Tribolium castaneum: one gene and its partner. The protein of the gene in region 1 binds, or shares a complex with, the protein of each later gene. Links are inferred from orthologs where the notes say so. Each region holds a gene or a part of one and is shown on either strand. Other genes may lie near its edges. The genes, in order: Not10 and Rga.

Evidence for each region.
Region 2: Not10 (region 1) and Rga share a complex: the UniProt entries of both Drosophila melanogaster proteins name them as parts of the CCR4-NOT complex. The link is inferred for Tribolium castaneum from reciprocal best matches to the Drosophila melanogaster genes Not10 and Rga.

What each region holds. Positions count from the first base shown.
Region 1 is NC_087396.1:15,622,156-15,626,558, forward strand, and holds the start of Not10 (CCR4-NOT transcription complex subunit 10), read left to right. Parts: upstream 1-1,504; 5' UTR 1,505-1,651; exon of another isoform or gene 1,652-1,707; 5' UTR 1,708-1,762; coding exon 1,763-1,854; intron 1,855-1,903; coding exon 1,904-2,060; intron 2,061-2,115; coding exon 2,116-2,257; intron 2,258-2,306; coding exon 2,307-2,715; intron 2,716-2,764; coding exon 2,765-3,110; intron 3,111-4,403. Other genes in the region: Rchy1 (RING finger and CHY zinc finger domain-containing protein 1), read right to left, coding at 1-11, 57-150, 198-476, 589-744, 793-954, 1,057-1,155. UniProt on the Drosophila melanogaster protein: Component of the CCR4-NOT complex which is one of the major cellular mRNA deadenylases and is linked to various cellular processes including bulk mRNA degradation, miRNA-mediated repression, translational repression during translational initiation and general transcription regulation.
Region 2 is NC_087396.1:22,481,638-22,485,975, forward strand, and holds the start of Rga (regulator of gene activity), read left to right. Parts: upstream 1-1,340; 5' UTR 1,341-1,684; coding exon 1,685-1,833; intron 1,834-1,963; coding exon 1,964-2,346; intron 2,347-4,338. Other genes in the region: Fpps (farnesyl pyrophosphate synthase), read left to right, coding at 19-354. UniProt on the Drosophila melanogaster protein: Component of the CCR4-NOT complex which is one of the major cellular mRNA deadenylases and is linked to various cellular processes including bulk mRNA degradation, miRNA-mediated repression, translational repression during translational initiation and general transcription regulation.

The DNA of each region.
Region 1 (4,403 bases):
CCTATTCCTCCCTACAACCAACATTACATTTTTTTTTCAAAAACTTTAATACCAACCTGACGGCTTAAACGGCCCCTTAATCCGACAAGTATTGTAAGAACCGCAATGAATACACTTGCAACCAATCACGTGAAACTTTACAGTTCCTTCCTAAATGAGTCAAAGTTACAACAAGCCATACAATTTTACCATATCACCTTATGACAATCCTTGCATAAAATTTGCACTAAATAACAGTTATACTGTGGCGGCATTGGCGTATGAGCAACTTCATTATCAAGATACTTCCACAACTGGGTCATATCCATAAGGGACGTCTGACATATGGGACAAGCATAATGTCCCGCTTTGAGTAATTGGTTGAAACAAGTGCGGTGTAACAAATGGCCACACATTGGAATATGGCATGGAATTCTGGAAGTATGGATGTCCTCAAGACAGACAGGACAATTGGCGCGCGATACGTTCTCCACACACTGCAAAAACAAGTTCGGATGTCTTACACGGCTGAAATCTAGTCTACACACGCATGCGCAGCGTTTAATTTTGGAATGGTGTTTACATGAGTTTGATATTTTTCACCCTTACTTTATGCCCGTTTTTGAGCTGGATTGGCAGGCACATGTTGCATTTCTCGCAATGGAAAAATTTGTCCGAGCCCCCAATCCTGCAAATGCCACAGCCAGAGCAATGGAACTGGTTCTTGTCTTCATCGTCGAAAAGATTGCACTCCAAGCAAGTGTACTGAAACAGGCGCTTAAATTGCATCAGAATCATTTCCCACGGACTTACTTTGCCAAATCTGATGCCACAGTTCTGACACTCTGCTTGAACAGGCTGCCTTTTCTCGCATATCGTGCAGATTAACTCCGTGACTTCTTTCCTGTTCACTGAGTGATCCTCCTTTTCGTCGTGACAGAACCGACAAGTGTACACTTTCTTGCAGCACGGAGTCTTGAAAAGAAAACACGACGTGATTGAGTCAATAATTGGCGCTAATTCAATTAAACTCAATAAACAACATTGGCCGGACGGTCTGTTCTAGCAAAAACTCACCACGAATTTGGATTTTCTTTTGTAATGGGAGCAGCCAATTGGCTTAATTGCCTCTTCGGGTGGCCCCTCAGCGACCGGAGTAGCTGCCCCTTCCATCATCCGCCGGGATTTGATTAAACGCCGCCGTATGACTGTGCAATTCGAGAAAATCTGTTTCTGGCACTAATTTTAGAAATACGACAGCATACGGAATAAATTAGAGGCGATCTTGAACTAAATAAATAAACGGGTAGGCAACACGGATTGCCTCCCAAATGTCAATTTCATTCAGGGAGAAAAAAACACTAGAATTGTTACTAGCAAATCACATTCGGTTGGCCAACTTGTATGAATTTTTACAGGATTTTTTCAAATTTCTTGCAAAGTTTACACTCATTGATGATCAAATAATTCAGACGACATTTAAAGCCGAAAAACGATCAAATTTTTTCTGTGGTATTTTCGTGTATTCAAAATTTAAATCTTGGACTTCACGAGTCGCCACTGACCTGTCAAAAAATTTTTTTTCGAAAATTTTTTGGAACTAAAGATTTGAATTATTTCACAGAAATATAACAACGAACTTAAACTTCCATTAACGTAAATTTTACGATCCGTAGGTTTTTTACAGTAGTGAAAGTCGGGTTTATTGTTACATAACCTCACTTATAGAAAGCTTGTGAATAAAAAAGTAGTGCCTGTGTTTGCAAAAAATCCAATAAATACAATGGCTGAGAAAGAAGAGTTTGAACGAGCTGTGGACGTTGTAACAGAGCAGGAGCAGGAATATGCACAAAAGGCTTTGAATGAGTTTAAAAAGTATGTTTAAGGCTTCCAAAAAAAACGAAAACTATTGACCCTTTTGTAGAAATAATTACGCCGGTGCGCTCCAATTTATCAATAAACTGGACAATAGAACTAACGATTTTAAAGTGGCCCACAATAAAGCTCTTGTGGAATATTGCAAAAGCGATTTTAGGAAGAACGAAACATTTCAAAAGAATTTAACCTCAATTTGCAATCAAGTATTACAGTCGTCCTCCTGGTGGGAATCTTTTAATAAGGCTCATTAACTTTTAGTTTAAGATTCGTCTCGATAAATTAGATGATGTGGACCAATGCATTGTTCATTATAATCAGGCCATTCTGTTATATCATCAACAACAGTACACTAATGCAATTTACATAATGGATCGAGTGTACAAATTTATTGAACCAATGGGTACAATTTTTCCAACGTGACTGTTTGTTTTTAATTTACTTTGTTACAGATGACGCATTAGCCAAACAAGTTAGTCTTTTTGCCATTGAGTTACAGCTATGTGTGCGTCAGTCTGATAAAGCGCTCAGTTTAATAAATTATCTGGAAAATCAATTAATCAACGGGACGCCAAACATCAAATTGTTGGACAAAACCGTTAAAGAGAAAGACAAGAAAGCGCCACAGCCCCTAGACCCAGCAATGGAAGAGTTTAAGAAAAAACTAATTAAATACAAAATCCGTTGTTACCTAATGAACCACAATCTCGAAATCGCAAACAAAGAAATCAGCAATTTGCTAAAAGACAAACAGAATTTCCAAGCCTTGTTCCTGGCAGCTAATTTAGAATACCTCAAAGGAAACTTGATAGAGTCCCAGAAACTTCTTGCGGCTGTACCACCCGATTATCTGGTCTACAAGTAAAATTCTATATTTTTTTAATATTTTTTTGCATTTGAATTTATTTAGCGACAGCGGCGAATCTTCAACTTTGATGTTTTACAACAATATGGGTGTGATTCATCACGCAATGGGCAAACCCAACTTGGCTTGCCACTACTTTCAGTTAGCCCTCAAGGAGGATATAGCTTTAACAAACAATGCAAAAAAAGACAAAGGCATGGATGACAAACCCTTGTATGCACTGGGTGGCTCAAAATACCACGAATTGATGTATAATTTGGGAGTTTCTCTTCTTCATGCCAAGAGGCCGGTTCAGGCGTTTGATTGCTTGATAATTGCAGTGCGGAGGTACCACAGAAACGCGAGGTTGTGGATGCGCTTAGCTGAGTGTTGTATTATGGCCACTAAAGAGGTAAGGGAATGAAAATTTTTTTTTAGTTTTATGTCTGGTTTCGGAGAATTTGTACGAAATTTCTGATCAAAGTGACCTATGATTAAGTTGGCAACAATAACTATATCGAGAAAGGTGAAAATAATGTATGTTACGTCGACCACAGTTATCGTCTTAATTTTTCTGACTGTTTAACGAGATCTCACAAAAGTCTAAGACGTTGGTTTAAAAGGTCTAAAGACTTGAAGAACGTAAAACAATATTTCGTTAAGCTTTGTTTTATTTTTGAAGAATTTTTGATTGAATGCGAACTAGACTAAATACACAAAAGAAAAATTGCATCTTTTTTTTATACAATAAATCAGTAGGTACCTTCGGGATAAGATATTGGATTAAAAAAAAATGCGAAACATGTTTTTTACTCTGTTTTTTCAAGTTGCAACTACCAAAAGATTCTCTAAATAATTATGAATAATTAATCTTTACATAAATAATAATTGACCAAATAAAATAAGAACAATTAAATTATTTTCATCCCAACTCTCTGACTTGTTGAGTAATTTTTAATAACAGAGTTGTGCGATATTATTGAGTTTTTTCATGAAAAACCTAAACGCAAAAGTGACACTATTCGGCGACTTTTATGCTTATTTTTCACAAACTTTAGCGAAATAATAATTGCGTTTCTACAAAAAAATGTGCAAACAAAGAACTATATTGACAAAATGATGTCATTTTCAGGACGGTTTTATAAAAAACGTCCAATTTTCAGTCCAATTTAGCGAAATGTAATTGATTAATTTAACTGCTCTTACATTTAAAAACTACTTACATGTTTACATGCCGCTTGTCCCCCTTTCGCATTTTAAATTACCTAAGACATTTTCTACAGAGTTTCGTTTTATTTGTTGGATTTTTTAGAATCATTTTCGAAATGTCATACGTCAAATTGAAAAGAGCGCGCGCATGCGCAATGATTTTCAACGAGGATCCCTTTCTTGACTAAAATAAAAGACTTTTCATCTAATATGCATTTGATATTCGTTATTTATTTCCTATCAGTGTCTCAGTTTTGCTTGTTTTTATCTAGCAGATTCTTCAATATTGCACAGAGGGGTAGAATGAATAGAAAAAGTGAGAATGTGCGACAAAGACAGACCCATTATTTTATGAATTAACGTAAAATTAGGCACGTAATTGTAAAATTTGTAAGCATTTTGATTGGGCCGTTTGAGGTCGGCCATCATGGTATTACCGAAAACCAATCACCTTAGATTTTTTGATTCATTCAAAAATTTACTTTTTGAATATCAT
Region 2 (4,338 bases), about 6.9 Mb from region 1:
AGTTCGAATTTTGAACAGGACGATTTCCTGGACTGCTTCGGCGACCCTGAGGTGACGGGCAAGAAGGGCAACGACATCCGCGAGGGCAAGTGCTCCTGGCTGGCTGTGGTGGCCCTCCAAAGGGCCAACCCCACCCAGCGAAAAATAATGGAGGAGTATTACGGCCGTCCCGACCCTGAAGCAGTCCGAATCATCCGAAACCTGTACGAAGAGTTGAGTTTGCCAAACACTTATGCCATCTATGAGGAGGAGAGCTTCAACATCATCCGTACACACATCCAGCAAATTTCCAAAGGACTTCCACACAAGTTGTTTTTCAAAATTATGGAGAAAATTTACCGGAGGGACTGTTAGTAGTGTGTGTGTGAATCAGTATTTTGATTATTTGCAAGATAATTGAGTTAATTTTAAGGTTTATTTTATTGGAATTTATTGCTTTTGATATTTTTTTATTTAGCTGTGCTGAATAAGTGTTTGATTCAGTTGTAATTAAGCTTTAATTCTATTGGGTATTTGGAGTTATCTTGTGAATTTTCGAGTCTTTTTCTGTGTGATATCGTGCAGGCTGGGTTAGTCGATTAGTCGTAGGCCAGTCGGCATTAAGTTAGTCGTATTTGTAAGCTGCACAAGTTTGAAATATTGTCGAATATTAACACACTTGTGTTTTTCCTTTTTTCCTGGTAAGTTTTGTTACCAACCAGAAAAGTCATTCGATTTTTATAAGGTGCATGTCTTTAATCATTGTTACGAAGTAATAATAATAAATATACGTTTATAATAGTGTTTTGTTTTATTTCGCATCAGACGATTCAATATCGTTATACAAATTGTCTTATAATACGATAAGAAGTCAAATTTTGACGTTATAAGTTTCCGAAATCTAATTGTGGATTGTGTTTTCGTTATTTTGATTAAAGTTTCTATAAAAAAAAATCACAAAAAAACAGTGCCATCTATTGGTTACACTTTTGCAAAAATGGTGGATGCGCCGGGTAACAATGGACCTATGATTTTGTTAGTCAAAATTATTGATATCAATGGGCGATCAACATAATAAGATAATAAATAATAGTTAATAACATTTTTATAAGCAAAGTAATTAAATAATGCGAATTATGCAACCAACATTACCGCTTGAATACTTTGACTATACGGAAAACGTTGAATAAGGTAAGTATATTTTTTATTTTTGCTTACGGGGCACGAGAACTTAGTTTTTTGTGTTTTTTATGAAGTGGGTAAAGGTGAAATTAAGTTAGGATCGAGTAATTGAAGGTGTGGGTTATGCAACTAGCATTGGCTGCGGCAATGTCCATCTTTCGGCGGTGGGTCGAAGCCGTGGCTGACAGTTGACACTCTCCATCTTGACATTTCCGACGGTAATGGCGGACCGAACTTGGACAATAACATCTACTTTGTCAAAATTACGCCTTTATTTTGTATAGCGAGAGGTTTTTGGTGTGCTTTTAACCGAGCCTGGAACCGTGCATTCTTCATCAAGTGGTCTCAATAATCTAGTTGAAGCGAAAATCGTGCATTTAAGTTTCGTGTGTTTATGATGTTATTTGTATTTTTTGTGCTGATAATTTAACATAAGAAGTGTGGCGAAGCAAGGAGCGATTTTTTCAGTGTCCTACTGCAGTTCCGTTATGCTAAAAGGTGGCTCGCCCCGCACCAGATAGCTATGGCGAATTTGAACTTTACAAGGAACATAGGAGGTAGCAGCCTCGGAAGATCCAGTGTTAGCTTCGGAAGTAACTCTATGTCTGGTCATGTTACCCCCGTTTTCGGGCAAAGGGCGCCTTCAGACCGGCGGGGAATTCCCGCAATGGGGTAACTATCCTTCCACCGCCATAAGCAGCTCTAGCTGACCTCAATCTGCCGCAGCTAGGGTTTGTTTATGTCAAAAGCGACCATAACCTAAGTGTCAAGCGCAAATGGCAACATTTCTGTTCTGTTGTAGAAATAGTAGCCAAATGGGTAACATGAACTCGTTGGGAGGTTATAGTTCCTTTAATTCTGTGTTTGGCTCAGGAGACACTAACACCCCTTCGTTACTGGATCTTAGTGAATTTCCCTCGTTAACGAATCGAAGTTCGGGTGATAACGTTCCACAGCCGAGCCCCATGCCGGGGGCGAAGCCCTACGTAGGAATGGTCAAGCAGCCCACGTCCGAAGCGAGTGAGTTTACTATGTCGTCAGAGGACTTTCCTGCGTTGCCGGGAACGCAAAATCGGGAGGGCGTATCGCCCGGGGGGAGCACGTCGGGGGAGAAAAACAACACGGGGGGTGGAGGCGACGGCTCCTCCAGTGCCCGGGAGAACGACAAAAACAGCGCGAAATCCGGTGAGTGCCACTTATCTCAGCTAAAATAACATCGATAAGGCGATTGATATTTGTTTTGATAACTGATTTTGCGTTTTATTTTCGAGGAACGCCGTCGATTTTTCCTTATTTTTTACACAAAAACTTTAAACTTGTAAATTAGCCCAAACTGCTTTTTGTTATTCCTAACAGTTTTGATTTTCATTTATTGTGCGAATAATTCGCTGAACAAAGCTTGCAAAGAGTGGATAAAATCTGAAACAATTAAAATGGCAACTGACCCGTAACATAAATGCGTTTTACTTAGAAAGGTGTTAAAAATACCGTGCGTTCAAATAAATAAATAAATTATATTGACCACAATTTTTCTCATAGTTGGGTAAAAAATTATTGGCAACACTAAATTATCGGTGATTTTAGTTGCTAATGTTTATAAAAATTGTTGAAACCCAACCGTGAAAATATTTCCCAAAGGGTGTGTGATAATAACAGGTGTTGCCATGTATTAGGGACAAAAAACTGTTTACTATATGTAAATGTTGGTGTCACTGAATTACGTTGTTATAAATGCATTGATTATAATATAATTATACCGATTTTGCAAGATTTTATTTTGAAGACATTTCCGATAATACAGTGGAATAATCCGATTTTTATTTACGTTTAACGAGCAATTTTTAAACTTGTTTTTGATGAAACGTGTCTGTGCAAATACGTTTTTTTTTTAATTTTTTTTTATAAAACGGTTAATCGACAACTGGTCGAAACACACGCGAGAGATTAGGTAACCAAAATAAATTAAAAAATTGGAGAACCACAAGCATTCGTTGTAAAAGGAAAAAAATGTTTGTAGAGAGTAATTTTCGAAAGTACAGTTAGCTAAGAAATACAGTTGTGTAAATAAATAATGATTTTGATTTATGAAAGTTTAAACAAAAGCGTGTCATTGTTGTGAAACACTGCAAAAACTGTTTTTGTCAGTTCATTTATCCTCAATTTATTAAAATTCCTAAAGGCTTGAGTAACTGATAAAAATAATTGTCAGAAAGATAGAGTATATCAACTGTAAAAACACAGTTGAAAATCCAAAAACAACACTTTTTGTCGTATTTAATGAATTTTTGGCTTGTTTTAACGAAATTTCGCGATATAATTCCTTTTTTGGCTGTAAAACGTATAAAAATGCTCTAAAATAATGTAAATTTTAAGATACATGTGTGTCTTTTCTGCCTGTTTTTGCGAAAACTGTCCGAGGATTTATTTCAAAAAAGTGTTTCAAAACTTAAAAATGTTTTGGCTTATTTATGAAGAAATTTTGCTCAAAATGGAGTGACATAAACAAAGAACAACAATTTCGATATATTTTTGGTAATTTTACGATATTTTTGATATAAATATGTCTCCAGCAGTTCAAGAGTTGAGTAAATCTAGCCAACCAAGCTAAAACAAGATTAATTTCGATCTAATTTGGTTATTTTTAGCAAAAATTTTCGAAAAATAATTGTTCAAAAGACAGAGAAATAACTAAATTACCATTCTTTTTTTATTTATTAAAGATATAAAAAGCTTTATAAAAAAAGTATAGTGATCTATGCGATGTTTTAAATCGTATGTCTTTTTTTGTTTTTGGTTCTTGTTGAAGTACGTGTTTATGGGATATGCATTTTTGAACAATAACATTATGTTTTTTTAACTTTACGAAAAAATTTGCTAATTATGTTTTCATCTTCGTTAATAAACTTTTGGTGAAAATGCCGAAAAAAATTGTTGAAACTACATTTTTTCAAGACTCAAGTCAATAATTCTTCTCTCAAATAAATATATTTTTGAGAACGATTTTTTTGACTATTTTTTGCAAATAAGTTACGAATTCTACTGAGCAGATTTATAAAAAAAAATGGAAAAATATCCCAGAACTGAAATAAAAAATCTGCAAAAAATGTTATACAATTTGGTTTTGATTTTGTTGTACAAACAAATTCGACTATTAAATCAGTAAATACTAGATATTAT